Daphnia pulex: one gene and its partner. The protein of the gene in region 1 interacts with the protein of each later gene in a pairwise test. Links are inferred from orthologs where the notes say so. Each region holds a gene or a part of one and is shown in the gene's direction. Other genes may lie near its edges. The genes, in order: protocadherin-like wing polarity protein stan and frizzled-1-like.

Region 1 (3,820 bases):
ATCGGCGGGAAATTGAGCGTCGCGTGGGAATCGGGCCAGTTCACATTGGCCGACACGGAGCCGCTCAACGATGGCAAATGGCACTGGGCCGAGCTCAAGTGGATGCAAGGTGAACTCTGGCTCAACACCGACTACGGCCTCTACGAGAAAACCGTGCCCGTCGATTCCAAATTGACCGGTTTGATGCCGACCAAAGTCGTTCTGGGCCGATTGGAAACGACCAACTCCACCGGATTCATCGGCTGCATCAAGGTAGATAACTCGTAAAAAATAAAAAAAAGAACCCTCCCATAATGTCTCTCTCAACAACTGAATGTATAAATGATTTCTGTCCAGGATGTGAGAATCGATCAGCAACGCAATTTGTGGCTGAAATCGTCGGTGGAATATCGAGTCAGCGACGGCTGCAGCTCGTCCGATTCTTGCACGGCCAAGAGCGACGTCTGCCCTCAGAGGGGCACCTGCGCCGACACCTGGAATTCGCACAAGTGCTCCTGCGATTCCGGATTCGTCGGCCCGGATTGCGCCAACATTTGCGAGTACAATCCGTGCGAGAACAACGCCACCTGCCAGATCGACACGTCGAATCGCCGCGGCTACAAGTGCGGTTGCCAGGGCGACACGTCGGGCGATTACTGCGAAGTGACCCTGGACCAGCCGTGCCCGGCAACCTGGTGGGGTTATCCGGTTTGCGGTCCGTGTCGCTGCGACACGGACAAAGGCTACGATCCCAACTGCAACAAAACAAACGGCCAGTGCGTGTGTCAGGTAAGAAAGAAAACGACCGCATCCATCCATTTTAAAAGTCGAAAAGTTTTCTTTTCCCTTTTGTCCGTGCAATTACACGCGGCGCTCATCCCGCATGTTATTCGGTTGAACGCGCAGCACAAACGCACGAGACAAAAGGATAAATATATAAATCTAAGAATAGGAAACGAGACGAGAGTTGCATTTCTAATGCTGTCGACATTTTCACGGGGTGTATAATATACGAATATTATAGGAAAATCACTACCAGCCGGTCAACGAGGAGGAATGTCTCGACTGTAATTGCTACCTGACGGGCTCGTTTGGCTCCAAGTGTGACGCCCTTACCGGTAAGAGGGAACAAATAAGAGAAGTCTTTTTTCTTTTTAAACTCCACCCACCTGTCCAGCATCCGACTCTTCCAAAAAATAAAAGAATGAAAAGGAAAAATTAAAGATATACCCGTTGAAAAAAAGAAAACGAGAATGTGGAAAAATGATTGCCCGCACAGCAGACAAACACAATCATATTTTCCCAACCGGTTATTACATTTCTTTTTTTCTTCCCGTCCATTCTCTATACTACCCCCTGTAGGTCAATGCAAGTGCCGACCGGGAGTCATTGGCCGACGATGCGACTCTTGCCCCAACCTTTTCGCCGAAGTCACGCTCAACGGATGCGAAGGTAAAGAATAAAACAGGCTCATCTGTATGCAGCCTTTTCTTTCGTCTTCTTCTTTAGCTCACAAACAGCTGTGCGTTTTGCACCGACAAATGACGGCCGGAGCAATAACAACAACAATAACTACACCCTATCCTCTCAACTCATCGTCCGTGTGTGTGTCTATATAAAAACCCCGCGCTAAGATACCGCCATTTTGTTGTTCTCTGTTTTTTAACGACGTTAGTGATCTACGACGCTTGCCCAAGGAGTTTCGACTCGGGCATCTGGTTCGACCGCACCCTCTACGGACTGACCACTTCCAGGGACTGCCCAATCGGATCGCTGGGACAGGCGTACAAAACTTGCGACAAGGAAGTCGGATGGATGCCGGCCGACCTGTTCAACTGCACCACCATCCCATTCGTCGATCTCCGCGAAATGGTACGTGTGTCTGAATAATTGCGCGAGTGCGCAAAACAATCCCGTACATTAGATAATAATAGATCATCATCCGTCATGATTACATCATCATCTACAGTTGAAACGATTGGATCAGGGCAATTTGAACCTCAACCCGTTCATTTCGGTGAGGCTGGCCCAGCAGCTGTTCAAAGCCACGAATCACAGTTCCAAACTTTACGGTAGCGATATCTTTATTGGACAACAGCTGCTGGTCAAGATCTTGGAACACGATACCCACAGAGAGGGATTCAATCTGACTCATCGACACGACAAAGATTTCATCAGGGTAATAATTCAAAATTGTTGCATCGATAAGTTTAAAAAACAAATTTTTTAACATGATGGGGTTTGGAATTTCAACAGAATTTGGTCAGTGCCACTAGCGTACTGTTCCAGATGCAGTATGTCGGACACTGGAGAACAATCGAAAAAGTTCACGGCTACGGAGCCGAAGTTTTACTAATGGCCTTCCAAAATTATGCGGCTAATTTGGCTCGTCAACAGAACAGCACCTATACTTTGCCCTTTGAAGTCGTCACTCCTAATATGGGTAAGAAGATTATTACCCCAAAAAATAAAATAAGGGAAGTAATTTATTCAAATTTTCTACTTTTAAAATTGCCGGCAGTTTTCGGAATGGACGTTCTGAGCACGGAACAAATTATCGGTCAAGAACTGAAATCGGGCGGTTTGGAGAAGATTGTGATTCCGGACACTAGCCGTTACATTGAAGAAGCATCCGCCGGAATTGTCAACAAAGAGAGACCCGCTTCGATCAACGCCATTTTCCCGAAATACAACAACTACGTCAAAAATCCGGTGCTCTTCGATCGCACCTCAAAGTTCTTCACGCCACTCAACTTGCTGGGCTTCCGGCTTCCGTCGGCCAAGAAGACCACAGACCGCGCCAGCAGTGAAACTCAACGATCCGTTGTGAGCTACGCGATTTATCGGACAGCTGGCGAGATCTTGCCACAAGTGTTCGAGCCCAATTTGAGGCAGCGCTACGGAGTGGACCTGACTCTTCCGTCCACCACGATGGGCTTCGCCGCTCTTTCAGTGGACGGAAACATCGTCACCGATCAGCCCGACGGGCCGGCAATCAAGTATCGCATCCGCGTCGATTACGTCAACCAGCGGGCCAATCCGCAGTGCGTTCACTGGAAGCCGACAGGATCGGGAGGCGGATTAATACCGGGGCCCGCTGTGGCCATCAAAGGCGCCTGGAGTCGAGAGGGTTGCCGAACCGATTTCCACGACCCGTGGTTCTACGACCAGGAAGACTTTCACGTCAATTGCACCTGTTCCAGTTTGGGACCGGTGGCCGTCGTCATGAACAAAGAGGAATTCATAACAATGGCCAGAGAGCCGACGCTGATCGAAGATGTGGTCACTTACATCGGTCTGGTGGCCAGCGTGGTTTTCTTGGCCGTGGCGTTCATCTGTCTCAGTTTGATCAGCGGCCAACAGCAGACCAACTCCAACTCTATTCACCGCAACTTCGTCGTTTGCCTCCTCTTGGCTCAGTTGCTGTTTTTGTTGGCTTTGAAACTGCGGGGGACCGTCCAACATCACGAGGTGAGTGATGGCCACTCTGACCGAAACATAATTTACACAACAAAAATTGTTTTTTTCCTGGCCAAAAACCCACCACTACAAAGCAACGCTCTAACGATTTTCCCCTTTTATTTTTCTTTTCTTTCCATCCTCGACTGAACAGTTTGTCTGTAAATTGCTGGCCATGGGTCTGCATTACCTGTGGTTATGCATCTTCTCCTGGCTGATGATCGAATCGATTCACTTGTACCGAATGCTGACCGAACTGCGTGACGTCAATCATGGCCACATGAGCTTCTACTATTCAGTGGGCTATGGACTTCCGGCAATCATCCTTGGCCTGTCGGTCGGCGTCCGAGCCGACCAGTATGGCAACTATTATTTGTAAGTT
Region 2 (3,920 bases), on another chromosome or scaffold:
ACCTGAAAGTCCTCCACTAGAACAGCAATACGACTCTTTGGAGGCCCTTACACCACCACCACCCAAGAAAATGTAAGTACAAGTTGAAAAGAAATTCAAATAGTGACACAATTCATTTATTTGCCTTTTTCCTTTTAGGAGAATTTCCTTTTTTACGGGTAAAACAGCAGCTAGTGAGATTGTTCGGCGGAAATCTGCTCCAATAGAAGGCAATGGTGATGTGACAAACGATCAAAGCCTTCCAGTTGCCGAACGCAAACAACAGGAAGAGTCGAGCCGTAACTCTTTGGGAGGTCCTAATGACCAACTTGACGCCTCAATGAGCGGTTCCGTGCCAACGAAAAAATCGGTGCATTCAGGCTATTCAATGATGAACTTCCCTGCCAATTCCAATCTGACAACGCCAATGTGTTGGTCCAAACATGCCGCACTCCTCGGCGATGTTGTTGGGATCGATACATCTAATCAAGTGACTCGCTGGTCTTGCGATCAAGTTATGGATTTCTTGGCCAAATTCGGTGTCAATAAAGTCATGTTGGAGAAATTCAAACAAGAGGTCTGTTCAACTGCTAAATTTTTTGGTTTATACGGTATTTATTTTAATTGTTTTGATTACAGGAAATTGATGGAGAGGCGCTCCTGTTTTTGTCTCAAAGCGATCTTACCGATTTGCTTGGTGTCAAGTTGGGACCGGCCATTAAGATTCGCAACGCTCTTCTTTTGATGAAAGAAAAGGCCAAATCTGCAATGCCCGCCAACGAGTCGCATTCTTAGACTAATAATAAAATTTAAATTTAATTATATGGTTGTCTCATCCTGTTTGTTTGTTCTATGCGATGTACCATGAACGAATCGAGATAACCTCTAGCTCGAATGATTCTCAATCCCGACTGCACACAATTTACTTTTTTTGTGTATTAAAATTCAGTTTTCCAGTTCTTTCTATCTCTCTCCTTTTTTTTACATTTTTCGTGTCAAGTCCAATAAAAACACTGATATGTGTCTTTGTTTTTGCAAGAAGCCACTCGTTTTTTCCCCCCACATACTTGATCCAAAAGCGCGTCTCATTGATTTTGTTTTCAGACAGACGTCAACCAGATGGTAGTGATTGCATATTTTTTAAAATAGTTTGCATCATTAAGACTGAACGAAAAGTTAAACGAAACGGAAAAAATTGTCACCAACTGTTCAAAAAAGGGAGTAAAAAAAAGACATTGATGACCCCTCGATATAGCCTCTGGCGATAACAAACCTGATGACTTTAACAGAAGAGGACAGGACAAAAGAACCAAACACGACACCAGCAGTAGGGAAAAAAAGGGGGTGGTGCTCTGGCGGAGAAAAGAGCAACTTCTTTAAGAAGCTAGCTCTTTTTGTGGCTGGTGCTTTGGTGTGGCTTTTCAGTGTTCAAGGTGGAGTGCTGAGACATTTGACGTTGGTTTGCGTTTAGTGGCATGTTTGATGTTTTACAGGGAAATAGATTGAGAAAAACGAGCAAACTCTGCATTTTAGCAGAAAGTATACACAGTATTGGTTGTTTCAATGGCAAAATGAAGAAAGTGTAGTGGTATTTATTGTTGAGAAGAGCTCTTAAGAAGAGGTCAGTCATCTTGGTTGGCCCCTTCGAATAAAAAAAGTGCGTCTGTTGCTCGAGGGGTTGAAAAGTCGTCTCTCCCTACAAGGAACCTATACTGCTGGGCAGGCTAAACCAGCATTTGACTAAATCAAGATACCGATTGTTCCGTCCGAAAATCTCAATCAGAAAATGTCTCTTTACAAAAGTGTTATTTTCGCCTCCATCCTGGCTTTGTTGCTAACTGTTGTAACTGTTAGCTCCACCATTTCTGATCGAGACAGTTTGCCTCACCATGGCAGGTGTGAAGCCATCACAATTCCCTTGTGTAAAGATATTCTTTATAATGAGACTATCTTCCCAAACCTGCTTAACCACCAAAAACAAGAAGATGCTGGACTGGAAGTCCACCAGTTTTATCCACTGGTGAAGGTCAAATGCAGCCCAGACTTGCAGATCTTCCTTTGCTCTGTCTACGCTCCTGTGTGCACGGTTCTGGACAAGCCCATCCCTCCTTGTCGTTCCCTCTGCTTGTCAGCTCGCAGTGGCTGTGAGGGACTCATGAACAAGTTTGGTTTTCAGTGGCCGGAAAGCTTAGAATGCAGCAGATATCCTGAAGGTGGTGCAGCTGGAGAACTATGTGTTGGAGAAAACAATACAAGCTCAGGGACTAGCCACGGTGGAAATGATGGCTACAGGCCTCCTTACAAAGTTTCAGGTAAGCTACTTTTATTTCTAAATTTTCAATTAAAAAAATTATTGGAACAAACAACTTTTTGTGGTATAGGTGGACTAGGTGGAGTACCCAACTATCCCAGAAATCCTCTAAATGAATTAGGCAATTACCCTGGTGTCTATCCTGGAGGACCAGGCGGATCTGTTGTTGGTGGTAGTCCTCCAGGCTATGGCGCAGGCTCCAATTGGTACGGGGGACCAAGTGGCATCCGATCAGGATTCACCTCAGTCAATAGCAACTACTCTCGCGATCATGGATTTATTTGCCCTGCTCAGTTCCGGGTGCCAAAAGGTCTTGACTATGTCGTTCGGGTCGGAGGGAAAGTCTATCCGGATTGCGGTGCCCCCTGTAAGGGCATGTTCTTCAACGAAAGCGAAGTTCGTTTTTCACGTGTTTGGATCGTGGTCTGGGGTGCCATCTGCATGGCATCTTGTCTCTTCACTGTAATTATTCCAGCTATTTTATCAATGTTTTACATGCAGGTGGTAATTAATGCTCTTTTTTTTTGAAAAATTCAGGTTCTGACTTTCTTGTTGGACGTACGCCGATTCCGCTACCCTGAGCGGCCCGTCGTCTTCCTTTCAGTGTGCTATTTTATGGTGGCACTGGCCTACGTCATAGGATACGCCATGGGGGATTCTGTATCGTGTAATGCGCCATTTGATCCGCCACAAGATTTTTCAGTCGATAAAGCCGACATGGTTGAAACCATCACCCAGGTGCAGTATATAAAAATCTTAAAAATAGCCACACATTCAGTTTTCATCATCTCAACTTTTCCATAGGGAACGAAACGCGAATCTTGCACAATCCTCTTCATGTTGCTCTACTATTTTGAAATGGCTGCCAATCTCTGGTGGGTCGTCTTGACGCTTACTTGGTTCCTCGCAGCCGGTCTCAAGTGGGGTCACGAACCTATCGAAGCCAAGTCTCATTATTTCCATCTGGTGACGTGGGCCCTCCCTGCTGCTCTGACCATCGCCATTTTAGCCATGGGCAAAGTCGAAGGTGTGTGTGTTGCTTACAAATAGACTCGTTTGTATTTTTCTTTCTAAATCCGTTTTGCTGTTCTACTGGTATCGTACCCTTAGGCGACGTGTTGAGCGGTGTGTGTTCGGTTGGCATTTGGGATATGTCTGCCTTAAGACTCTTCGTACTGGCGCCTCTATTCCTTTTCCTCATCGTCGGCACCATTTTCTTATTGGGCGGATTCATCTCTCTATTTCGGGTACGTGTGTCTTGTTGAATTCTTTTCCATAACAAAGTTGTTATTTTCTTTATGTGAATTTTTTATAGGTGAGAACGTTGATGAAGAGCGGAGGAACCAAAACGGATAAGCTAGAAAAGTTCATGCTGCGCATTGGAATCTATTCCTTTTTATACACAGTACCGGCCATCATTGTTATCGCATGCCTTCTTCACGAACAGGTCAGTCGTGAGTTTCCCTTTCGGCGAAATTCTTCTCACGTCAACCACCTATAAATATTCTAACATGTATTTTTATCTATATAAAGGCTTTCTTCGATTCCTGGATGTTGAGATGGCAAGAGGACAAATGCCGTGACCCACAGTGGATCAAATTTGTTTTTGCCTGCCCGTCACAGAGTCTAG

What was found.
Region 2: the proteins of protocadherin-like wing polarity protein stan (region 1) and frizzled-1-like interact in binary tests that used the Drosophila melanogaster proteins (3 or more experiments, as listed by UniProt). The link is inferred for Daphnia pulex from reciprocal best matches to the Drosophila melanogaster genes stan and fz.

The regions. Positions count from the first base shown.
Region 1 is NC_060028.1:10,555,912-10,559,731, forward strand, and holds part of protocadherin-like wing polarity protein stan, read left to right. Parts: coding exon 1-252; intron 253-336; coding exon 337-768; intron 769-1,003; coding exon 1,004-1,097; intron 1,098-1,341; coding exon 1,342-1,431; intron 1,432-1,654; coding exon 1,655-1,851; intron 1,852-1,948; coding exon 1,949-2,158; intron 2,159-2,235; coding exon 2,236-2,422; intron 2,423-2,500; coding exon 2,501-3,450; intron 3,451-3,592; coding exon 3,593-3,813; intron 3,814-3,820. UniProt on the Drosophila melanogaster protein: Involved in the fz signaling pathway that controls wing tissue polarity. Also mediates homophilic cell adhesion. May play a role in initiating prehair morphogenesis. May play a critical role in tissue polarity and in formation of normal dendrite fields.
Region 2 is NC_060020.1:4,095,917-4,099,836, forward strand, and holds the start of frizzled-1-like, read left to right. Parts: upstream 1-1,356; 5' UTR 1,357-1,765; coding exon 1,766-2,291; intron 2,292-2,360; coding exon 2,361-2,752; intron 2,753-2,827; coding exon 2,828-3,028; intron 3,029-3,094; coding exon 3,095-3,317; intron 3,318-3,400; coding exon 3,401-3,537; intron 3,538-3,605; coding exon 3,606-3,737; intron 3,738-3,823; coding exon 3,824-3,920. Other genes in the region: lethal(3)malignant brain tumor-like protein 1, read left to right, coding at 1-72, 139-556, 619-774. UniProt on the Drosophila melanogaster protein: Receptor for Wnt proteins.